Drosophila melanogaster: one gene and its partners. The protein of the gene in region 3 purifies or fractionates together with the protein of the main gene of each other region. This does not show direct contact. Each region holds a gene or a part of one and is shown on either strand. Other genes may lie near its edges.

The links.
Region 1: the proteins of Scm (region 3) and ova purify together in Drosophila melanogaster (affinity purification with mass spectrometry, with the first as the bait; one study listed by BioGRID). This does not show direct contact.
Region 2: the proteins of Scm (region 3) and SMC5 purify together in Drosophila melanogaster (affinity purification with mass spectrometry, with the first as the bait; one study listed by BioGRID). This does not show direct contact.
Region 4: the proteins of Scm (region 3) and Psc purify together in Drosophila melanogaster (affinity purification with western blotting; 3 studies listed by BioGRID, with this or other methods). This does not show direct contact.

Annotation. Positions count from the first base shown.
Region 1 is NT_033779.5:10,227,207-10,233,613, forward strand, and holds ova (ovaries absent), read right to left. Parts: upstream 4,487-6,407; 5' UTR 4,077-4,486; intron 2,750-4,076; 5' UTR 2,745-2,749; coding exon 2,499-2,744; intron 2,406-2,498; coding exon 2,208-2,405; intron 2,141-2,207; coding exon 1,979-2,140; intron 1,921-1,978; coding exon 655-1,920; 3' UTR 554-654; downstream 1-553. Other genes in the region: eEF1delta (eukaryotic translation elongation factor 1 delta), read left to right, coding at 5,367-5,453, 6,275-6,355.
Region 2 is NT_037436.4:21,567,251-21,574,027, reverse strand, and holds SMC5 (structural maintenance of chromosomes 5), read right to left. Parts: upstream 4,777-6,777; 5' UTR 4,650-4,776; coding exon 4,576-4,649; intron 4,508-4,575; coding exon 4,135-4,507; intron 4,072-4,134; coding exon 3,893-4,071; intron 3,772-3,892; coding exon 3,525-3,771; intron 3,473-3,524; coding exon 3,374-3,472; intron 3,309-3,373; coding exon 3,021-3,308; intron 2,967-3,020; coding exon 2,865-2,966; intron 2,807-2,864; coding exon 2,598-2,806; intron 2,539-2,597; coding exon 2,375-2,538; intron 2,297-2,374; coding exon 1,967-2,296; intron 1,912-1,966; coding exon 1,694-1,911; intron 1,638-1,693; coding exon 1,413-1,637; intron 1,343-1,412; coding exon 1,118-1,342; intron 1,053-1,117; coding exon 895-1,052; intron 839-894; coding exon 721-838; intron 661-720; coding exon 565-660; 3' UTR 505-564; downstream 1-504. Other genes in the region: CRIF (CR6-interacting factor), read left to right, coding at 5,195-5,893; CG7634 (uncharacterized protein), read right to left, coding at 6,301-6,584, 6,649-6,777.
Region 3 is NT_033777.3:9,632,817-9,639,549, forward strand, and holds Scm (Sex comb on midleg), read right to left. Parts: upstream 4,796-6,733; 5' UTR 4,340-4,795; coding exon 3,794-4,339; intron 3,736-3,793; coding exon 2,818-3,735; intron 2,753-2,817; coding exon 1,721-2,752; intron 1,660-1,720; coding exon 1,522-1,659; 3' UTR 543-1,521; downstream 1-542. Other genes in the region: SpdS (spermidine synthase), read left to right, coding at 1-290. UniProt on the Drosophila melanogaster protein: Polycomb group (PcG) protein. PcG proteins act by forming multiprotein complexes, which are required to maintain the transcriptionally repressive state of homeotic genes throughout development.
Region 4 is NT_033778.4:12,977,935-12,982,824, forward strand, and holds the start of Psc (posterior sex combs), read right to left. Parts: upstream 3,061-4,890; 5' UTR 2,114-3,060; intron 288-2,113; 5' UTR 230-287; coding exon 1-229. UniProt on the Drosophila melanogaster protein: Polycomb group (PcG) protein. PcG proteins act by forming multiprotein complexes, which are required to maintain the transcriptionally repressive state of homeotic genes throughout development.

The DNA of each region.
Region 1 (6,407 bases), on a different chromosome or scaffold from region 3:
CAGTGAGAATGCATCGAGTGGAACAGTGTGGGAAAGAAACATCTGGGATGGTCTAAATTATATCAAATTCTTCATCCCATCGGAATGAATGGAAAATGCGATATAAAACTAGATATGCCAAACCAAAAGCAGCTGACGCGTACAGCTGAATCGCCTAAAATAGGCGGGGTGATGGTTAACTCTACAAAGGGCCAAGCCCACGTTGGGTTGAGGTACATACCGAAAAGACTGGTTCAAGTATCAATCATGGGATTAATGCTACTTTGTATTAACCCTGACGTCCCCTCTCTTTCTTTAATGACGTAATAAAATTATGATGTGACTCATAACCAAAAAAAATAAGCTTTTGAAGGTCATGTACTATTTACGTGTACTTTATGTCGATGCTTTCAAACAACCAGATCATCGATTAACGCTTCGAACTATGAAGAAAACGGATGGAAAATATGCTGATTACCATCTATACGTGGTAATAGAGATCCCAAAACAGTAGGGTTCCTCTACAGTATGTCTTTTCTTTAAAACGCAGAGAAAATGAATTTAGACATTATATATAAAAGTATTTAAACAAATTATTTATTCATATATGGTAATTCTTAGTTTAGGTTTTCTTGTAAAATAACAATTTCTTAACTTAACTATGGATTAAAATGTCTAAGAAGTTAAATCAATGGAAATTATACGCCCAGTGCCATTGAAAGGCGGAGCCGCGGAAATCGCATCAAACGTACTACTCTCAGTAGTCTGATTTGTAGTGCTTTTTTTCGAATTAGCCGAATGAGCGTACCAGTCTGTGAGTGCGACCAAGTTCTTAGAAAAATTGCAGTTTTCCTGATTGTATTCCTTTCTGTGTCCCTCAGAATCAGCAAAAGTATTCGATGTACTCAGGGAACCAACCAGTGAATGATTGGCTATCGAGTCTACGGTACAGCGACTAATTACTGAATTAGCCTTATAGTTTGAATAAATATATAAAGATTGCTGTAGGGGCTTAACCGAATTATCAACTATTACTGATTCTGGCTCTGGAGCACATTTACTTGGCTCGACGACGCGGCTACTGTACAAATTTCTGTTGTTATGTGTAAGTTTTATTACAGTCAGTGCATCCGAGCCAAGTCTTTTGGGCGAGCCTATTGCTGGCTCTTGTTGCTCATCGTCGTCCGAGGAGCATAAGTCAATTGTATCAACAACAACTTCCTTTGTGGGTGAAATTCTCCAGTGTGAGTTGAGCGAATTGTGGCGCGTTAGTCTTATATTGAGTTTTGTATTTGCAGTGTGATTTTGCTCTTCCATTACGTGTTCGGATATTTTTTTCAATCTGACTGATATTGGACGGCATTGTTTAATCAGCGGAGAGTTCAAAAACAAAAAGTTCTCAGTAGTGTCCCTGCGTTTAACAAATTGACGCCGCGGAAAGGAATATATGTGATAATTGTGTTCATGTGACTTTTTAAATGTACAATGCACTGTAGTGTTTGTTTTTTTTTCAAAATACTTTTGCTTGGTATTTGATTTATTGATCAATGGAGTGTAACAAAAGCGTTCCAGGCGTTCCTGTCTTTCCGCAATATAATCCATTGATATTGTTTGTTTTGTCGATTTTAACAATTGCTGTCCTGCAGGTGATGATATTGGGATAAACGAACACCTACTAAACGAATGAACTGTTCGATTTCTCCGCGATGGTAAACGCCTCTTTCTGTTTGATGTTTCCGTTGATGTTTCTTCGCTGAATGAATATGTTTTCTGTTTCTCTTTAGATAAACTATTATCGGAGAATTTGGGTTGCAGTTTAAAGTTTAAGAGAAAGGCGTTGCGCTGTTCGATATCTTCGTTTTTCCCATCACTTTTGTTATCTGGCTCAGGGGAATCACAAAGTATAACGTCATCCTCCATGCAACAAATGTTTTCGTGTTCCTGTTATGCAATAGAGTTATTAACTATTAACTTTGACAATCTTTGGCAATCAACTTACGAGTATAGCTTCTTTAGAATAAAGTTCGGCATCACAGTTGTCACATAGGTAGATATCAAAAGGTGGTGGCTCAACCATCATATGCTGTACGTTTTCGCTAATGGAACTGTTGTTCTTTTGCAGCAACAAGCACTTTCTGTTCTTTTGTTGTCTATCATATGACTGCAAAATAACCAATTCAGAATTAACTAATTTTAAAACCCAATTATTCAAAGTAGGCTTGGCTTACCATGTTTTCATTTCGAAATGTAACCAACAGTTTGTTGTTTCTCCTGTCATACAATGAAGTTGTTGAGTTATAATTGTTTATGAATCTTAAGCTCGCGTGTTCATACGCAGCTAAATCATTACAAAATCTTAATAGAAATAAGCTTTTGTGAAATTGATAGCATATAACCACAATTTCTTTCATTTTTTCCATCCAATTCTGTAAAATAGATACAGGTATATATTAGCCATTTATGGGGGTGAATGTTAAATATAAGCCATAGAAATCAAAAGGTAAGGGAAAAAAGCTTACCCCAACAAATGCTTTCGGCTTTTTGAGCGGAATCTCGAAAGGAGCGCTTTCGGGCCACCATTCTGGTTCACTGCAATCTATTTTCTTTGGTAAGTTTATGTGTCCTAAAGAGCATTGCACCATGAAGGGAATAAAATTTTCTAACTGGGACTCCGTAATTTTTTCTAGGGATGTTGGATATCCGTTCGCAAACAAAAGTGGTAGGTTGGATATCATGTTGTGTTGAGCTTTATCTTTTTCATCCATTGTCACTGCAAGTGAATTAAAATGTTATATTTTATTGCCATGTTATCGATAGTTTTCCAAGATAACCGATTAAAACGATTACATATGTATAACATATCTACTTAAAAATTTAAAACTACTAAACTTTCCTAAAACCAAACCAAACAAACGATTTCAAATATTTATTAGCAGTTGTGATAAGTAAGGGGCGCAGTATATGGATCTAGCTGTGTCCGTATGTCTGTCCGTCCTCATGAACGTCGAGATCAATAGAGAATACTGAGGGTGATGAGTAAACTCAATTAGGTACCGTGTAATAGTTGTTCTATAGTCCTTGAAAAGTATATAATGATCATCTGCCTGTCCGTCCTGATGAAGGCCAGTTACTCGTAAAAATATGAAACTAACAAGTCTTTACAGCCTTGATCCGGATTACTAGCCATGTCGATACAGCCATAACTGACTGTAAGTCCGTATTTGTTCGTATAATCGTAAAGCCCTCAGGTACTATTAAAGCTACCCTGGAATTGAATTGCCACGTACATTGTGACACCTAGGGATCAAGGTCTAGAATACATAACTGTTTACGTCCTTTTTGTTCTAGAAATCTCTAGTTTAGTGACCGCAAACATTACTTTTTTGCAGGACCATTTTATGAACGGTCACATTAAAAAATGGCGAGTGATAACCACAAAATGGCGAAGATACAGACTGTCAAGTCCGTGGGGACAATCGATAAAGGTATCGATGATTTTTTTTTGCAAAATTACAATCCTTGAAATGTACCTTTATTAGGTACTATATATCGTATACACATTGTACCAATAAAGTACAGCAATATGATTAAACTTTTTTTTTTATAAAATACTTGTTTTGCCAAAGGCGTTGCCACTTTGGTTTAGAACCAAAGCTAGTGGTTACGCCTAGCGATTTCATGAAATTGACATGAAGTGGAATGTTCCCACTTACAGGTTTGTGCGATATCGCTTCGCGAATGCTAACTATGCAGTTTATACGAGTTATATATTCTTGTGGCGAGCCACGACCAGCGTTTCACTTTTGCAAAAGGGGCAGCTCATAAACCTTGCGTCTAACTGCAGATTTCCTTACTGAAAAACCACGAATTGCTCTCATATGTGTACATGCACACACACGCACACACACACGAAAAACACACATATGTATTCCAAGGGAAGTGGAATAAGTTTGCAAATAAAATTTTTACTGCATAACTTGGGACATTTTTATACGTAAACACACTCACACAAGCACTTCTAGATAATTATACATAAACACAAATATTCATATGTTAAATGGAGTCATCACAATTATGCTGTGGTATAAATATCCCACCTGATTTAGACGAGTGTATGTAATACACTCAACGAAAATTACTATGTTCAGCATCATTTGAAATATAATTTGAATAGTACACACTTATACGTTAAACTGGTTGATAACGAACATTTCGACACCGATTTTGTATGGCAATACATTAAACTCAGTGCTCTGGAATGCTCAGTGCTCTCTGCATATACATATCACTGAGTGAATCCATTAGAAAGGAGTCTCAAAAACCGATCAAAATAGAATCACCATCAGTACGCACCAAGAATTCGCAATGATTAACAAAACGGTAGACACCGAGATCTACAATCACAAATATGATAACATAGTTACAGTACACAACACTTTCTTCGTAAAAAAACCATTTGTTGTAGTTGCTATCGAATAGTCGAAGTGAGAACTGACTGCTAAATGGCTGAAATAATTGTGACAAATACTACCCAGTCTTCAAATTGAAACGCGGAAATGGAACAAAATGTGATGTTGCACTTTTACTTTGCTCTTAAAAAAGTTTTTTACTGTAAATAAAATACATGTACTGGAATTTTTGTGTAAAATCGACATCGAATTAATTCGATTCCATCAAACACAGCTGACGCAAACATCTGTTAATCTCTTATACAAAGTAAAGGAGAGTTGTATACCTTTAAAAAACTTTAAAACATTTTTTTTATTATGGTATCTTTTTCTAGCTTTTTAGTAGCACACAAGGACGAGGTCCGTGATATAAAAATTTTGTTAAAGAGAAGAAGAAGCATTAAATAGTTAAGTGGAAGATAATATATAAAAAAAGTATCCCTCTGTATCCCTCTTTCATCAAACCTCTTCACGCAACGACGACAATTGTGGTGAACATTTCGTTGCAACCCATCACAAGCAATAAATCAACTGATGACAAGTATACACACATGTTGATCCGCAGGCCTGTGCAAAAGTTCGTCAAACATCGATGAGGTGCCACGTGGAACTTACATTTTGCTACGTTGAGATCAAACTTTTTTTTTATTTCTTTCCGGGCACTAATAAGTGTTTCAATTTATGGACGTTTTGTAAAAATTGCAATAAATTTGTTTATTTACTCGCACATCAAAAAGCAGTTCGTATGAGAATGAGAACGTGTTAAAAATTTGGTTGAAATAAAAATGTCGTGTTTCATTTCCATCGTTTCAGTAGCAATAAAAAACGAATCCGATGGCGTAGATATCGATATACCTGCATTCCCTTTCAAACGTGTTATCGTATTGTTCAGCCAATTGTGCAACGTGTTTGAGTAAATCTGCGGGCGAAAGACTAAAAATGAAAGTAGAGGCATTGGACAAATTCTGGGCTGACAAGAGCCGCTACGATCTTGCCGAGAAGCGATTCTACGAGGGTCCCCAGAAGGTAAAATCTCTAAGCAATCACAGCCATAAGTACTTAAGTTGTTAGCCAGTTTCACGTGGCCGGTAAATCAGTTCAAATGGTTTCGGCAATGTTTATTGCAAATCTGTTTGTTTTAACAGCAAGGACGCCGAAACACACATGTTCTAAACTTCAATACATACGTAGAATGATCTATTAAAAGATTTCTATATTTATCTGCCTTTGATTTTCAATTGCTGTGTTCATATTGCACATTACATTGGTATATTCTTGTAGCTGTATGTAACAGGTGAACGTTTAACACTTTTAAAAAATATAACTATGTGCGTAAAGTGTATACAAAACAGAGTGTGAGAGAAAACTAACTCTGGCAAGCCAAATTTTGAATACACTTTCCGTTTGGCAATTGGTATAAATACAAAATATAGTATGCAAAACATAAGTACTTAACATGACACCTACACAACAAAATTCGTTTATTCAATGGAAATGTGCCAAAAACAAATCGATGTATACAAAGTTAAAACCTATTGAAATTCAGGGAAATACTATAGTTAAGTAAAGGTTTAAACACGTTGTATTCTATCTACACAAATATACTACACAAAATGCATAGCACTGCATTGTATAATATTTAAACTACGTACAATTTTTGGGCTGATTAGAGTGAGGCTTATCAGTATTTCAGCATGCTTGCATGACAACAGACTTGAAGTAGATGCCCGTACATAAAACATCTCATTTTGCTTAAAAATTATTATCCCTAGAATCCTTTGTCAACCATTCGATACACCAAATGTCAGTTCACACAAGTAATCAATGGTGTTGTCTTATTTTTAAAGGTAACTGATCGCAGCCACTACAGCCCATTAGTAAGCGAAATCGCAAAGGCTAGGGAACACATACAGAACTCGCTGGAAAAGGTAACTATTGTGATAAATCTTTGTATTTCAACATTTGATTTGTTCACATTCC
Region 2 (6,777 bases), on a different chromosome or scaffold from region 3:
AATAAGGGCACACACGGATTGCGATCAAAACCCGACTTCTTTGGAGCTGATAAAAAACTAACCATCTATCTGAAGTTAACCTGAACTTTTATAGTTTGCGTCGAGGGATCATACTTTTGACATACTTTGCTTAATATTAACCCTGTAAAGAAATGATTTGCATTAAATTGCATATCTAAATATATATAAATATATATATAAATATAAATATATTTTTTAACATCCCAAAATAGTTTATCCAATTACTTAAAAAACATATGTACAAAGGCATCTCTTTACTTAAAAGTATTCGCATTGTAGTGTTAAAATCATTTCACATATGAAATAAGATATAGGTGCTGTTGTAGGGTTTTAAATCGAGGACAAATTGAAATCTGATAAAACAAATCGTCAGGCATCATTGCCTTTGGACTTGTTTACCGGCTTACAGATTTTATTCCGAGTAGGCCAACAGTTCGAAAAGGAGTCCCCACAAGGCTGGTCATTCGACAAAATGCAATAGATATGTTTTGTAGTGTTTAATATAAAAAAATACATATAGTAAATCTGGATGACCCAAAGTGTCTAAGCCATCGGGAATTGCATGCCATGGCAAACAGTTTTTGAGTTGTGAACAATGGAAACACAGAGATGTTCGTTGTAGTTCAGGTCTCGAAGCAACTACAAAGAAGATTTAAAACAGTTAACTAAATATTTAAATGAATAAGCATTTATATTTACCTTAGGTGTTACAAATAAATACTGAGCCGAGCCGTGCTTGGTGGCTTCTTTGAGGAGCAAGTCGAATATGTGACGTTCATTTGTAGCGTCCATGCCTTGATTTATTTCATCGACACACCTAGAAATGGAGAACTATAAATCGGGCGTCAGTTTGCAGCTGGGTTCCGCAATCACCTGAATGGCACGTGGGTGACATGTTGCAAGGACAATGAGTATATGGCGATGGACACTGCGCGTTCGCCACCAGATTGAATAAACTTGTCCAGCGGCTGCAGCTGGAGACCTCTCCTGAACTGGACCATTATCTGAATACCATATGAGTCAAAGTCATACTAGAATTAATAAAGTGAAATACATTTGAAGTAAAGTTTTTATGTAGGACAGTTTAAGTTCTCACTTTGTCGGTTTTGGATAACACAACTTCTCCCACGTATTCAATGGACTCCATAAATTCGCTGAACTTGGTACTGATTGTTTCTACCAAGCTATTAAGTTTGGGCTCCCATTTGTCGTATAAATTGGACATGCCAGACTCGATGCTCTTTGCTTGGTTAACAGACTCTTGAATTCCTTCCTCCAGTTGCTTGACTTCATTTTGCAGTCCTTGATAGCTGCTGATGGCCTGCATATTTTAATATGGAAAGTTATTAGATATATCAGCTTCAGTTCACTAATTTAAAAGAGTGTTTTACCTCGGAGTTTACACTTTTCATGCACTCCAATCGTGCCTGAAAGTCATGTATTGCCTCTCGTAGTTCGGGCAAATCTATATTTTCCAGCTCCCTAAATTCCTTCTTAAAAGGAAATTTGCTACTGGTTGGAATTTCTCCGTGGCAAAGGCCCTGAATAGCGCTCTTTCGTTTGTTAACGTCGCTAATTTGATTTTCTAAGCACTGCAGCAACTGTTGGAAGTCTCTCTGCAAGCAAAACATTCCTATAAATAAATTCCTTAAGTGCATTTCGATTTCCTTACGGTTGCTGCTTTACTCTGTTCCTCGCTTTCCTTGAGGGCTTCAATTTGAGTCTCATGTTGCAGCATATAAATGGATACCTTTGTCTGGGCCATATTCTTTTCAATTATAAGTCGGTCAATAGCTTTCAAGCACGAGCACAATTCCGCATCAGCATCGAATATTTTTTTTAAGTCTTTATGCAAACTGTTACAAAAATTGGTTTCAAGACAGTCTAGCGCTGAAAAAACACGGTTCATAATGGCTGAATATTTAGTGCACTAAGAAATACTTACAATCGCTATTGCGCAGGGCTTCCAGCTTCTTTTGGAGCGTTTCAATTTCGGTTTTCAGGCTATTAAAATGGGCTATTTTTTGGTCAAGCTTTCGTCTCTTCTCTTGCTCATCCTTTGCAACAGCTTGCAATCGTTCAAATTCATTGTCGGTCTGGGTTATTGCGTTTTTAATGCTGTCGCTTTCCTTCACTGCTTCGGAGCACTGTTTCATCACCAGGGCCAGTTGTTGTGAGTCCACTGTAATAAGTTGGTTCTTCGCTCGAATGCTACTTTCAGTTAGAATAGTATCCGACCGATAGCGGGATGCGGTCACAACGAACTTCTTGCTGCCTAAAATGCACAGTACGGAATTCAAAATCAGAATTTATACATTTGCGAAGCGAAACCGAATAAGAAAAATATACACACCGCCGAAATAAACTCGGATAGCTTTTGGAATGGATGAAGTGTAATTGCCCACAGCTTCTGTGCCAATTGGTATATTATGAATGGAATAGGAAGCGCACAGCTTGTTTATTAGTGGTATTGGTCCCGTGACAAGATCCACGAGGTATGACCGAAATCCGAAAGAGCTGTAAAAGTATTTAAAACTAGGTATTGGACTAGTATTGGACAATTGACAAGTGCATACCGCAGATCATCGATGGGAGTTTTGGGACTGTACACGAGTCTATCGGATGGTGCGCAGTAAATAACGTTAACTCCCAATTTTTGCTTCACACACAACTCGTTGATCAGGTCCGACATATCCCCCTTGTCCTCACACGCAAATGCAAATAAATCGCGCTGCGCCACAACGTTTTCCAAAAACTTTGCGTCCTCATGATTTTGTACTGTAAGCTATGATAGCGGTTTTAACATTAGGCCATTGGTAATGGCTTCATTTTGAAAAGCTCACCTCAAGTATCATTGGGTCATAAACGTTCAATTTGTACCTTTGCTTATTTTGCGCCAACCAGTTCATGGCCACAACCAAATTCGGATTTTTTGCTCTAATTTCCTAAAATGAAAGGTAGCGTTAAGTTGAGTTTTCATTATTTCAGTAAGAACTTACATCAATCTTTTGCATTTTGACGTTTCTCAACCGCTCTATTTTAAGTTTATACGCAGTAATTTCAGGAATCATTTCATCATTCAGTTTTTGTTCCAGTTGTCTCCGTCTGCTGTACTGCTCCATTGCTTTCCCGCGGGCAGCTGCGCACGATTCCTTAGCCCTTTCAAGTTCCGAAACGATCAGAGGCCTGCTCTTATTTAGGGTTTCAAGCTCGTAAATTTTATTCTCCACCAACTGATTTAGGTTATCACACTCTGTGGCCGTTCTTCGTGATTTTTTAATGTTTTGCTATGTGACAGAATGTAAGATTAAGAGTTATTCACATGATCGATATATGCAACAAGAACACCAACCTCCAGTTCATATTTTTTTTGGTAAATTCCTTGCTTCAAAGAGTCCATTTTACCATCAATAGCCGCCTTCTCCGCTACAGCGTTTTCTAATAAGCGTGTCTAAAAAAACTTATTTTTAAAAAATATATTAAAAAACACTGCCACCCATTACCTTTTCCAATAAGGCCTTTCTGAGTGATTCTTTTTCCTTCTCAATTTGTTCTTGGGATTGAAGAAGTTTGTCATGTTGGTTCTTCAATTTGTCGCTCTGAGTTTTTGCGTTTTTCACTTGAGTTTTCATTTCTGCGGCCTTGGCTTCTCCAGCCTGAGTCTCAACCCACAATTTCTTCGCACTGTACACCTGCAGCTTTTGCTTGACCTCTTCGCGTTCTTTATATTGGGACACAGTCATTTGTAAGCTAATAAAATGATATTAAGACAATTAGGTTTTTAGTAAGAATTAAAATTTTGTACTTCATCCACACATTTGGTTACATTTTACTTAGTGAATAAAAATAAGCTCGGGTAACTATATCTTACTGTTCCAATCGTTTTTGCTTCTTAACCAGATCACTTTTCTCTTTTTCCCGATTAGCATGGACATTCGCCTGTTCTGTGCGCATTTGCTTTAGACTGTTGAAGCTGTTGATCAGGTCTTCGTCACACACGGAGGACATTGTGTTGAGCAAAAGCTCTTGAGGATTCATCTTGGAGAAGTCCTGAAACAGTATGTTTACAATAAATAGGTGTGTAATTTATGAATTGCCAACATAACGACATACCTGAACCCGATCCTGCGGGAGGAACTGACACAAATTGCTGACTTGTATGTTAAAGGAGGATACAGCAGCCAAAAAGTTCTTCTTGGAGGTGTCTTTGTCGTTCACAGAGAAGGTAGACAAGCCATTAGAGTTTATTATGCGCCGAAAGGTTTCCGTGGTGTTGGGCGTGCGTCCATACACCCGGACAATTATGGTGGCCGAGGTTTTGTTGCTCTGTATGTAGTCGGCAACGCTGGCGGAGCGATCAAGGAGAATCGGTTCCCCTCCGAGGCCCAAAATTATGGCCGACACGATGGTGGACTTGCCACTGCCATTGGGACCGGTCAGAACGTTCAGGTAGTGCTTCGGATGGAATGTGATCTCGCTGTAGGATCTGTTGTTGGAAATAATCAAATGAGCCGCGAAATTGTCAATTTGCGCCTTTGATGGAAATAAACCTACACGAAATCTTTGCAGTACACGGAATGTATGCGCCCCGCCAATTGCTTGGAACTTAAGGCACGATCCCCCGCCATGTCGTGGCGTAGGCTTTTATCCGAGCAAATGCTTATTTCAACTTAAGTAAAACGAGTTGTTTTAAATGCAATTCCGCGCTTTCAAGAATTTAGTTTTGCATTAGGGCATATGTGCACGTACCATTGTTGTCGATAACGATTGGTATATTAAGGGTACACTTGTGCGCCGCCCGTATGTATAATCAATTTATGTTTCTTTTATATTTTGAGCTGACAACATAAAAATGATAATTTTAAGCCTCAGAAATCTATTTTCGGAATAAAAACTGACAAGTAAAATGTCAGTAACAAATCGTGGAAACGATAATTACAAATTGATAGAAATAAATAGCAAGGAAAAAAGAAATATATAGAGCTTGAGCTGGGATGCAGCCAGACTGTCACAACAATTAATATCTATTACTTATCTTTCTGACGGGGCCTAAAAAATATCTGAATTTAGCTCCAAAAGGGTTTAGTTGCCAGCATTGGTGTCATCGCTATCGATTTTCTCTCATCTCTATTGGAAATTAATAAACTATTTTGCTTAGACAATACAATTCAAAATGAATGTAGGCAAGATAAGCGTTGTCACCAGACTTCCTGCCCTCCGCTCGTGCGCCCAGTACTCGAGCGCTGCGAAAGCGGAACTGCCGGCTTCCTTGGTCGGCGACGTGGATGTGGAACCAACATATCCCCAGACGGTGGACAGATCCGGCCTGCAACCACAACACAAAAATGTGCTCCTTAACAAATTGCCATACCAGGAACCTCACTCCTGGATTCATTTGACCGAGAAGTACCAGAGACAGGCATTCGGCCGGTATGGGGCCCAGAGCAATGTGAATCCCAAGATTTGCTTCGATTCCCACGGAGAGAAAGACAGCAGGCAGGTTATGCAACTAGAAACACTCCTGAAAATGCTGGAGAAGAACCGCGCGCAGAAGGCAGAGGAGCTGGCAAGGATAAATGCCCGTGAAGAGGACATTGCGAAGAAGATGGAGAAGTTGACACAGTGGAAGGCGGACCTGCACGCGAAGATCGCTAAGCGGGAGGCGGATGCAGCGGCAGCCATACAACGCAAGGAACGCCTGGTAGAGGAGGTGCGCCGACACTTCGGGTTCAAGGTGGATACACGCGACGAACGCTTTAAGGAAATGCTAGAGCAAAAAGAGAAGGAGGACAAGAAGAAGCAGAAGGAGGCCAAGCGAAAGGCCAAGGAGGAGAAGATGATGGCCAAGCTGGTAGAGAAAGCATCAGTGTAATATTTGTAGTATCAAAACCATCGATTTAAGCGAAGAACTGTTGTATGTTACACTAAAATAAAAACACTGCAAAAAGAAGAGCACTTATTATCTGTACTCCCATAAAATATTTTAAAGTGTTGCAAAATATTTTATATTTTTATAAATTAAGACAAGAATTTGCTTAGACTAGTGAAAAGTAAGCCCGATGTTTGTGTAATATATACGTTACACAAGCATTATTTTTAAAAGAGGATCAGTAGCCGAGTCGATCTAGCCATGAAGGAGCTTGCAAGTTGATAATAAGAATGCAAATTCCAAATACGCAGGGGTACTTGAGTATAGGTATCTAATAGGTCACTACACTATTATAATTGCACTGAGAATTTATTAATCAATATTTTTGGTTATACAAATAATACAAAGCTCTAATTGCTATGGCGCACGGACAGGGAACTATACACCGATTTTTCGCTTTCGCGCCGGCTATTCGCAAAAATGCTCTGCTTCTTCACGATGAATTCCTCCTCATTACAGTGTATACAGGCAGTCAAGAAGTTATGAATATGCTTTTCTTTCAATTCCTTGGAAATTTTTAGTGCCAGATCTAGAGCTTCACTGGTTCGCTCGACTTTGTGGAGTGCAGCATTCGCCTTTATTATCAGTAGGTAGCACAGAAACTGCCAAATGTAGCTATTGCATTTTTTTGCCTCTAAAAAGATAGATATATAGGTATTTCCATAACCGTTTAATAGTATAGCACTAATGGACCAAACCTTCAATAGACTTTCGGGCACTAAAACAGCATTCGTCAAACCTGTGTGATTTAAGATGAATCTCTGCCATTTGGTGAAGTAGGTAGGACTTCTCTATAGGGTACTTTGCGAAATTCATACGGTTCTCGA
Region 3 (6,733 bases):
TGTGCTCCCAGGGCGGTAGCTTCTGGCTGGACCTGGACTACATCAAGAAGACCATGTCCGGCTGCAAGGAGCACTTTGCTAAGGTGGCCTATGCCGTCACCTCCGTTCCGTCCTATCCCTGCGGCCACATTGGCTTCGTCATGGGCTCCCTGAACAAAAACCAGGACTTCGCTACTCCCAAGCTTGGAAAGTCCGAAATCGATTCTATAGACCTAAGGTACTACTCCTCCGAGGTTCACTCCGCCGCCTTTGCCTTGCCTCGATGGGTGCAGAAGCACTTTTACGAATGACCAGGTTGCGGAAAGATTCGTGTGTATCTGTTTGTTAAAAATAAATATGATAATAATATGACTTGTTTATCATCGCTTCTTAAATTCTTGGATATTTTCAACAAATGCTGACTCTTGCAATGATTCATTTTTAGTCGAATTTTTGTAGCCTGAGTATTTTCCTTCCAATCCGACTACCATCTTTCAGTTATTTTACTGTTGAAAATAGAACAAATTGTAATGTTTATTACGTAATGATATATACAGTTGGCTCTATTTAATTTTTGTATTTGTAAGTGGATGCTGGGTTAACATAATGAGACTTATTGCAATATTTTACACGACCGAATGTTACTCTCATTTATATATCGCATATATTGCAAAACTTTGAAAGGAAGCGTTTCTTATATGCAAAAATGACCTTAACTGCATGTGAATAATTAACTAAAAACTGATATTCAATTTCAATAACTTAATAGAAATTAAATCTTCAACCTGTTTAATGACTAATTAAATATTGTTATAGTTAGGAAACGCAATTGATACATAATTACAAAATTAGATGTAAAATATGTACAATCATTTAATATTGGTTTTTATTTTCTCGCCTATTCTAAAGTTAATTATCATTTCTTTTGTGTCGGATAGATTTTGGTGTCTAATGTGCGTGTTTTTATGTGTAATAAATATAATGTATGTGCATTGCGATTTTGGTAGCCGAGCTCCAGTTTTCGAAAAAGTCGAATCATTTTGTGTCCAATTGAGAACTATTTCACATTTTTCGAAATAGATGGATAAACTAATTATTGTGTGTGTACGAATACTCCACTCCTTTGACTGGGTAAATTTGAATAAACCTATAAAAATTCCTAATTCAAGTATAATAATTTTGTCTAAATAAATCAATTTGTAAATGTGTATTCCAAAAAAAGAATCACGAGCAGTTGGAAAAAAATTAATAATAATGGTTTTGAAAACCGGAGCTTGACTGTGTATAATTTGTTATGCGATTGATTTTGTATAGGGAATTTCATGTCTTCGCGATTACATTTGTTATAGCGTGTTTTATATTATCAATATAATAAAATAGGGTAGGGGTTTTTTCTTCATGAATGGCCAACACATAACACATCTATGAATATCGTTCATGTTTGCTTTGCTTTACGTTAAAGGGAGGTACTAATTTGTTAACAATTTCTATATAAGTCAAACCCGAACCGAGTCCGCTGCCTGAAACTTAATGTTTTTCTGTTTAGAGTGCCAGATTATTTCGACGACCATTGACCTTATTGACTAAATTGCAGATTTTTAAGGCTGGTCCTAGCTTCAGGCCCATGTACTTCATCATCATCTCTGAATTTAGCAATAATAAAGCTTTACCATCGATTTCCTACAGACGAAAATTAGATAAGTTACTTTATTTAAGGTAATTGGTAATAGCTACTACTTACGTGCTTTCGGAAGAGATCACCATGAACTGCAAGGGAGTTGTCGTTGCTCTCGATGTACTGGATCACCTCTTCGATGGTCCAGTCGATCGGCTGCGACCGCAGATGTGAGTTTGCCAAAGCAGAAGTGGGCGTGCTCACGGGTGAGGTAATCGCGGTGTAGCTCGGAGAAGCTCCCGCAGTTGCCGCTGCTCCAGCCGGCGCGGTGGCCGCCTTAGCCGCTGTAACTCCACCTGCAGCCAGTGCAGTGGACGAGGCTGACTGGCAGCCCGTGAACGGCGTGGACACGGATGTCGGCAACGAGGCGCTTGACGAGAGCGTCGTCGGACTCTTGTAGTAGCTATTCGAGGGCTTTACATTGGCCTGCTCTGGATGAACTTCTGCCACAAGAGGTGCCAGGTATTTGCCAATTGTGCTGGTGTTCGCCGATCCTCCGGCTAGGCTCGTGCTGGACGACGTTGACGAGCTGCTGCAATGGCTGGTAGATACGTGCGTGGTCTGGCTCGTATCCTGGTTTCCGTTTGTCGCAGAGCTATTCGTATTCGTGTTTGCGTGGTGTTGGAAGCGTACTTTGCGCAGAGCCTGCGTTGTGGAGGAAGTCTGCGCGTTCGCTCCGTTGGGCTCCGATTTGATGACCACCTTGTTGCTGGACTTGCTGGCACTGTTGTTGTTATTGTTGAGACTGTGATTGCTGTTTTGCTGGCTTGCAGGCTCCTTGCCATTGTTCGTCGAAGTTTTCGACTTGGACTCCACTGGCGATTTGACAGCCAATTCCTGCTTGATAATCTTCTCAGAGGGTGATGTCGTTGCCGAGTTGGATTGACGGTTTCGCTTGTCGGCGAGCACTGGCGAGGAAGGCGGTGTGGCTGACTGAGTCAGTTGACGCTTCCGACTATTGGCGCACTTCTTGCACTCCTCCGTCTCGTGGACCAAGGAAATGAGATTCGCACATGCCCGGCATGTAGTGCACAGCGTTTCGATGAATTGGGCGAGGCTTTCGTCATCCTTCATTCGCATTGGCGATGGTATTTTTACCTTTAAGAAACGAAGAGTATATTTTAAACATGCTTTTCATTGAATTTAATTGATCTTGAACTCACTGTGAAATTTTTCCCCGCTGCCGTCACGATATGAACATCTCCTTCCAGGGCAAACAGCAACTTTGAGAGCTGTTGCGTATCCGTGCTGGCAGCTAAAACCTCCTGCAGGCAAAGCTTGGCCAGCGTTTGGTAGGTGGGTCCCGTCACCATGCAGGGCAGTTTGGAATTGTTGATGAACGGACCGCCCTTGCAGTTCGGATGGAAGTGGGCTGTGGCAGGGGAAGCGGGAACCATAGCCTCGGACTCAGCTACAACAGTGTAGCGGGGTCGAGGGCATCGCTGTTTGCTAGAGCTGGAGTCCATGCGCGATTTATGGCCCGGTGGCTGCATGGGATGACAACTTCTAGCGCACCAGCCGGCGGGAAAAATGTCACGCGATCGGTAATTGCACCAGTAGTCGAATGCCCCTCGCCAACCATCGAATGTTACATGGATCTGATCATCCTTGATTGCATCTACTGTTGCACAGCAGATGAGCTGCGGGTTCTTCTTGTCGACAGCCTCGAGTTTCTGGCCCACCTTGAACAGGTTTTCTTCTGGCTCTGGCGGCTCTGGCTGGAAGATCTCTTCTGGCGCCACCATGGCATTGTTGAGGATCTTGCACAGATAGCCGGGCCAGCTGGATGCGTTCATGCGGAATCCCAGAGGCGGCTGCAGCATGCCACCGTTCTTTTCACAGTGTCCAATAGCATGGATCTCCGTAGAATCGACCAGCCGCCAAAAGTCATTCTGGGAGTCACTTCCATCCAGGCGTAGCCGCAGTCTGGAGCCAAGCACTCCGACCACGGTGGCAATGCAGGTGGAAGTGACGTTGCGCGGATCCAAAGCCTCCAGCTTCATTCCGATTTTAAAATCATTGTTGGGAGGATTCTGAGCCTGTTTGAAACATTTTGCAGGAGCAGCTTCGCTACCCGTTTCCTGGAAACCACAAAAAGTATGAGATTGGGGGTTAAAGCATTATCCCAGCTTGACTTACCTCTAGATAGGCATCCCAGTCGAAGACGTGGAAGCTCTCGTATTGAAAGGGCCCCGTTGGTGCGGGCGCTCCACTGGCCAGCAACTTGCGCTCGCTTTCCGCCAGACCCTTGCCCGATGCCGATCCGCCGCTGTGCCTGGTCGAGCAGTTCTTCTTCTGGTGCTTGTTCATGCACATGATCGAGCAGAACTCCTTGTTGGGCGCCCCATCGCGGATGACGTTGTCGCACTGGGTGCACGCCCCCTTGCTGTACGCCTTGCGGAACTCGGCAATGCATGTTTCCGAGCAGAACTCCTTCTTGCCGGTCTGCGTGGGCAGGACGTACTGCAGCGGTAGCTTGCCCTCGCCGCACCAGGTGCATGTGGCTCGTTTGGCCGGTCTACCTCGTTGCCGTTGCGTGGACGCGGGCGATGTTGTACTTCCAGGGGATGCGGATGTGGATGTGGAGGAGGCGGATGCGGATGCGGAGGAGGTGGCATTCGTACTGGCCCCTGGCGCAGCAGAATTGCTCCCGCTACTGGTACTGCTATCACGTCCGCCCGACATGGTTTCTCGCGTGGCTGTCCTAGTAGTCGCACTTGCTGATTCGCGCCGGCAAGCCCCTTGGCATCTCAGGCGATTTCGATTTCGTGTGTTCCGATCCGGCGGTCAAATCGCATTGCGGCTGCCTTGAATCATTAGCCACCAATAGCAAGTTTTGTTTTGCAGCACTAACTTTCCGATTTCTTTCGATTTGGCCTGGCGAAATTTTGCGGCGTTCTTGAGGTCACGTAATAACAAATTGGTGGCCAAATCGCATCGCATCACCCAACGAAAACAAACGCGAGCCGCACAATTAGTTTCTGGTTCACCAAATATCGAGCTTTATATTTAGAGCGCTGCGCGGATCTTGTTACTCGGTTTCAATCCGAAATTAGATGATTTTGAGTCGCTTAAACTCCAAAATGTTAGACTTTTTTTACTTTTACGCTCGGTTCCGCCATATTTGTTTTTCTAGTGGTGACATTCAGATCTTTGCGCATATCGATAGTTGCTTACCTGTGACAGCTCACGAAGCGATGAAAATAATCAACTAATGTGACTAATCGAAAAATGTTATCGAAGCAACTAAATGCAATTTTAAAATAACGTTAAATGGGAAATCACATAACTGACAATAAATAGTCAATTTAAAGAGCAAAGTAGATAATGCTCAATACTTTTACCACAATGTTGTATTTAATTTAACTGCTAATATAAATAAATATTTGTCATTTTTAAAAACGTAAGCCCTTATTATAGAAAAGAAATTTGGATTTCCTGTCAAAAATTGTACAGCGTAATGTAAAAACTATTTAGTCTAGTAAACTGAACCGTTTTGGTTTTGAGAATATAAACTTATAACCGAATTCCTACGTTTTAATATCAGCTCATAGTATTTCCCAGTAAAACTAACAAAACGCTCGTGAATCAAATTTGCACAGCATCAAGTGGGCGTAAATTGGTGAATAATATAAAAAGTCTGTAAATTTGAAAGCGCACGGCACACATCAGCCGAAAATCAAAAAAAAAAAAATGGGTTAGTCAACAAAACTAATATCTACCAATTTATAGAACGCTCTGGTATGTAAACATTTCCATTGAACTGGGAGAAATTCGCAATAAAGCGGTTCAGATAGTGGAAAATGGGTTGAACAAGGGAAAGTTTTGATATTTTAATAAAATCATGTATAACATAGGAAAGCGGTTTTCGTAATTACCAAAACCATGAAACAATCAATACTGAAATACAAAAATATGTTACTATCAAAATAATGGCTTATACGATTGGCCTAAGGCTTTATTAGGTCAAGCAAATTAATATTACTTGCTTACCTTTCGTTAATTTTATTTGCTGAAGAGCGTCGCAAATGTCAAGAAGTCTAGCAAATTACTAGAAATTACATAAGTGTGTTTCGTTTGCAGTAAATTCAGTAAGTCGAAAGCGGCTCAAAGATGAAACAAGTTGGAAAAACTTTTCTGGGATTAGCCGAAATGTATATTGGTCAAACTTTTTGGCTAACTTCTGCTGCTGTTTGATTTTTGTTCGCTTTGCCTAAATGGTCCGTAACTTGATTTAATTGATGTGCTTCAAAGAATAATCCGCTCACTTAGTCGCGTTTCAAAGATAACCAACTGGAAGCCAAATATTGCGGTCGAAAAACTTGATAACACTGTTAATTGAATGTTTTGAAGGCGGCGTGATGTCCCTCTTTAATAATCAATAAAGACATTCCTAATTATTAATGATTAAACTTGACCGAAACCAAGTTCCCTGACACTCACACAATCGTCAAATCGCGCATAATTGGATGGGACCATCGGCTGCCCATAACAAGGATAATTGGATGAAATGAGGCGGCTGCCTTTTCTGCTCCTCATTAAATGCCCGTTTACCGTTTAGTCGCCTGTCAAATCCTTGATGGGCTATTAGAAAAAGGGGTGTCCAGAGACGAGTTCTTGAGTCATTGACTTGTTACGCAAATTGGACAAAAGAAATTTCTGGCTCCGAGTGGGCACTGGAGTGGGGATTGAACTTAATAAGCATATTCATTAATGGGTGTACAGAACCAAGTACAAGGTTGCATCTTACACCCTTATGGATATCCTTTCCTTCTTGAATCCCTAAGCAAAAGTAATCAGGCAAGTAGCTAGACTTTACTAGTTGCTCTATTAAAAATTAAAAGTAAATTAAAATTGCCTCGCACTACCAAAACAGCATTACAGCTCGCATAAAAGCACGTATAAATTGGCGGGAGTGGCATTTTGACGGAATTCAATCAGCCATAAAGCATCCTGCTGGGCAGGAAATGGAGGCGTTTGCCTACGTGCTTAATTACAAGCCGACGCATGCACATTCTGCATACATAAAAGGCGAAGACACGTGTTCCAAGCAATTAAAAAGTATGTCAAAGTGGGTGA
Region 4 (4,890 bases), on a different chromosome or scaffold from region 3:
GAGACTGAGACAAAGCCAGCTTTTTGCTCGAATTGTTGCCACTGCTATTTGCATTGCTGACAACGCTTTTGGCCGCCTTATTCGTTGCCGTTGTCGTTGTTGTTTTCGCCAACGTTGACAACTGCGACTTTTGTTGTGTGTGAGCCATTGTTGTTGTTGCTGTTGCTTCTGCTGTTTGCTTTGTTGTTGCTGCTGCCGGCTGTATTGCTTTCGATTCTGGCGTCATCATAGTAATAATACACTCTCGCCGCTAAAAATTCGCTTTTGTTTTTCGCACAAGCGTCAATCTGCAAAATAGATAATGCCAGAAGTTAAAATTAAATGCGAATAAAGGAGCGCATGGAAAATGTGAAATGGAAAATGTAAATCGACTCGAGAAGAGAGCGTGCTGAAGATTATAAATAAATCAGACGCTGAGCCGCAGAAAGCAATAAGCCGAAGCTATATCGGTATAGCCTCGTTGGTGCGCGAAGAAGCTTAAAGCTCCACTCGCCCCTCGCTGTTTACGATAGAATAATGGAGGCAAGGGAAATATACACTTTCTGGGAAAACTGGTAGAGTTAATGAACTCGGTGGGATCGTATTTTTCCTCACTGCAATCTTCTCTTTTGCATCATTCTTCGTGAATCAGTTTTAATATAGTTGAAATGGTGATAAAGTTTCTACAGTGATCGTCATAAGAGATCTGTTCAGAAAATATTTTAATGATGTTGCCAAGTACGCTGACTCAATATAAATGATCAAAGACAAGAACTTATTAAGTAAAATAAACAAATATGTTGTTGCATGAACATCGAAACTTAAAGATCATTTCAATTTTTAGAGTTTAGTGAATATGCTTTGACTTTAATTTGTTAGAGAACGCTTTAGCTCAAAGAAATCAAAATGCATTTAACTCAGACATGATGTCCCAAATTAAAGCTTGTGGGACTTGAGCAGTAGACAGAAAGGAGTCGCAATCTGGCAGCTATTATTTGCAATCAGTCGATGGATGTGGGGGCCCTCGATAATGGATGTTGTAGTTGCCATGGGAATGCCTACGTCGAATATATTGAAATGCACAGCACTTTTGGGATCAAAAGAGGGGGGAGCAGAGTTGCACAGGGGTGCTTTGTTTTATTATGGATGGAAGGGTGGAGGGGGGAGAGTGAAGAGTGCCGAGTGGAGTTTTAACCAGATGCCAAGTACATCGAAAGTGGGGGGCGGATCTGTGGGGGCGTCGAACAAAATGTGTATTTCAAACAACTTCAAGTTGTTTTTGCATCAACGCGCCAGTAAAAAGTCAAGGTACATACGGTAAACTTTTCGGAAAAACTTTTTCAACTCCGGGGGCACACAGAATATGGAAAATTATATTTGTGTACAGAAAATATGGCAATGGAATATGAATGACTGTATATGGGAGAGGGCGAAAAGAAATTGCCAGCAGGCCTCTTTAAATCCTTTTTACATCACTTTTAAGTGCTGTGCGAAAAGAGGAACCCTTCTGTTGGCCCTTTCCCTTCTTATTTTACCGAACCCATTCCATTGCCGTGTTTAAAGTCTCAGGGATTCTCGCGCGCGCAAAAAAATGTGAGTGAGTACCAACATGAAAAGGATAATAAAAAAAAAAGCAGCGGAATTTCTTATTTGTGTGTGGTGTGCGTGTGTTTATATGCTCGCGTATGTTTGTGTGTGTGTGTGTGGGTAGGGATGCGAAGGGATGTTGAAAGAAGGGAAACGCGAGACTGTGACAGGGAACAGAAAAAACAACAACCCAGCGAAAATTCGGAGAATGCAGAACCGAGACTGCGGCTTTATCTCCTCTTTCACAAGCACGCACACACACACACTCGCATATTGCTTTCATTCAAAGAAACAAGTACATAAACATAAAACAAAAAACGTTGCTAAATGAAAGAGCAGTAAAAAAAAATCAGTCACACACGCTCATATTCTCATGCTCCCCTTTTTCAATTGCCGTGTGTCCAATCGAAATTCTTACTTGCTGGGACAAAAGGAGAAAGAAAGAGAGGGGGTCATCAAGAGAAAACAGAAGAGGGGCTGTGGTTGGTGGGGGGAGAGCGCAACAGCTGCCGGTCGAGAGCAGTGTTGATTAACGCCAATCATGTACCTTTGTATCCAATCTTTAATCCACTAATAATCCAGCCAGTTAATTGGCATCGCGGTGGTCGCCTTGTATACATAAATAATCCAATGGCAAGAGGAATAATCCAAGTAAATAATCCACACTTGAGTTTTGAGTCAGCGTTTCTGCTTCTCTTTCTTCACTATGCTCCACTTCACTTTTATTTTATTTTATTTTCTTTCTACTTCTTCACTTCGCCTGCACATTCAAACCACACCAACACGCGCTGGCACTTTCGGCTGCTCTGCTTTCGCGGGCACCTTTATTGTGTATTATGCTTTGCTCTATGTTTTCTGCCCCACACACACACAAGCGCGCGCGACGTACATAAGCCAGCAGACGTAGTTGTGTTGTGCTTCTGTTGTTGCTGCTACGGCATTTGTCACACAAAGGAAATTGGCTTCAGATTGCTTTTTTATTATTATTATTATTATGCAACTGAAGCTTTGAGCTCTGGTTGTAATATAAACACATGTTTCTTGTTTCGTTATTTATAGTGGTCGCTTCACTCTGTTTGGATAGCGATAAAGCAGGAGTATCGAAACAACCGACCGCACACGTCCGTTCGCTTTGAGAGTTTTTGTTCGACTAACGACCACGCTGCTTTTCGTTTATGTACTGCTGCGTTGCCCGCTATTTACTCTCTCTCGCATACACACACTTATATACCAGGCCAAAGACAGGTAGCCAACTGCTCTGGGCGAGTATCTTTGTTTTCTTTTTCGTCGCTCGCACACTGATCGTCCGTCTCGCTCTCGCCGGCCTCTCACTGGGCAACAAGTCAGCTATCTCTCTTGCACGCGCACTCGGCTCTTTTGTTGTTCTCGTTGCGGGGCGTCGTCGCTCTGGCTCGGTCTCTCTCGTTCGCTCTGTAATCTTTCCGCACAGCGTCGACGAACCGCTCTCGTTGAATGTTGGTGTTGCACTAAAACAGGCGCTCTTCGCTGACTCTGTTTTTCGGTCGCCACATCGTCGGTCGCTGCCGCTGCCTGCGTCGACGCCGACATTGACGTCGGCGTTTGGCTCTTTTCTTTTGCTTTGCCAGCCGTTTCTTTGTTCGTTTCTGTATGTACAAGCGGAAAATTGAAGAGGGAGGGGGATAGAGAACAAAGGGCTGCACATAAATGGCAGAGGTTTTACAACTCTTACGGGCTCTTATCCATCTGCAAACACTTCGGAATACATAAGACCATGTGCAATCAAGGTAGAATGAGTGCCTATGTAATCGCAACTTGCAATTTCCGTCAGCAGAAATCGCATATTTGCACGTAGGCGTACGTCTATATCTGCACCCCTCTCGCTCCCACGCTATTTAATGCCTCCAAATTGGAAATGCTTTTTGCTTCTTTTCCCTTGCCTTTTCCTTTTTTCCCCCACAGAAGTGGCAGCAACAGCAACAACCACAATGTGAGCGCGAAAGAGCTCTCCAATCAGTGGCAGCCAACAACAATAAAAGCAGCAACTTCGTTTCCGTCTTGGCGAATTAACCGTTAGACTGCTCTACGTAACGTAACAATGCAGATCTAACGGATAAATTGCGAACGAAGGAACCGTACCATGACGATACTTTCCATGCAAATTAACACCATTATTATCATTGCCGTGGGAGTTAAGAGTTTATTTTGCATATTTTTATTTATAATGATCCTATCCTCTAAATAGTAGCGTACTCACCCAATACTATTCTGAAGTCTTCGAAGTTCGCAGATCAAAAAGTCTAAAGATTTTTTCTTTCAGTTTTATTGCAGGGAAAACTTCTTTTTAAAATTTTTTAATTTCTTATTCATTTTCCATTCTATTATAATACTTTTATTGATTGGTTTGCCCACAGTAAAATCGGAGATGTCAGGAGGTTTTAAATTAATATATTTCTTATTATATTTCTTATTCTTATATTTCAACCATTTCTTAAACTAGCCTTAATAAATTACAAAATGTTTTTAAAGTTTCATCCCAAACAATAATAAAGATTGATTTTTATTCTCATAGAAGAAATACAGTAGTAATCTTAGAGTATATTAAAACTGTAAAAATATTAAAATTTTATATTTAAAAGTTTGATAAGTACACAATTGTAAAAGTACCCTTCAAGCCAAACAACTAAAATTATCATTGAATACATAACATTTAAATGTTATTATATTTTTCAATCAACAAATATTTTTGTTTTGTCTTAGTTTGTTTCCAACTTTTTTTTAAGTTCATGTTACTATAAAATTGTTTACCGATCGGACCTTATGTCGAAAGCTTGCATTTTATTGAAAATGTGCTTTTTGGTCTATTTTTAGCCTTTTGTATGAATCGTCTAGACAAAATATGCACTCAAGAATTGTCTTTGCGTGAACTTTTACGGAATCATAATAGAATTGCATTCTGTTATCATATCTTTCACAATAGTGATGGTCAAAAAACCCCAATGAATTTTAATTTAAGTGGTGTTTTAGGCAGGGATTTGTTTTTTTTTTGTAATCACTCCAGTAAACACTTTCGCACACAGTTTTCACCGTAGAAGAAAAATTCCAGCATTACAGGGACCTCCAAAGGCTTTTTAATAATTCTTGATTATAATGATTAGTTATGTATTTAATATATTATTATTATTATGATTATTATTTCTGTCACAAAGTAAAGGATTCAATGAACATTTACCTTTCAGTAAAGAACCTAATAAATGATTTGGTAAAGATCTTAATATAACTTAATACATCGCTTGTTTTAGGTATATACATACGTATAACCATAAATTTTGGCACATATGTATA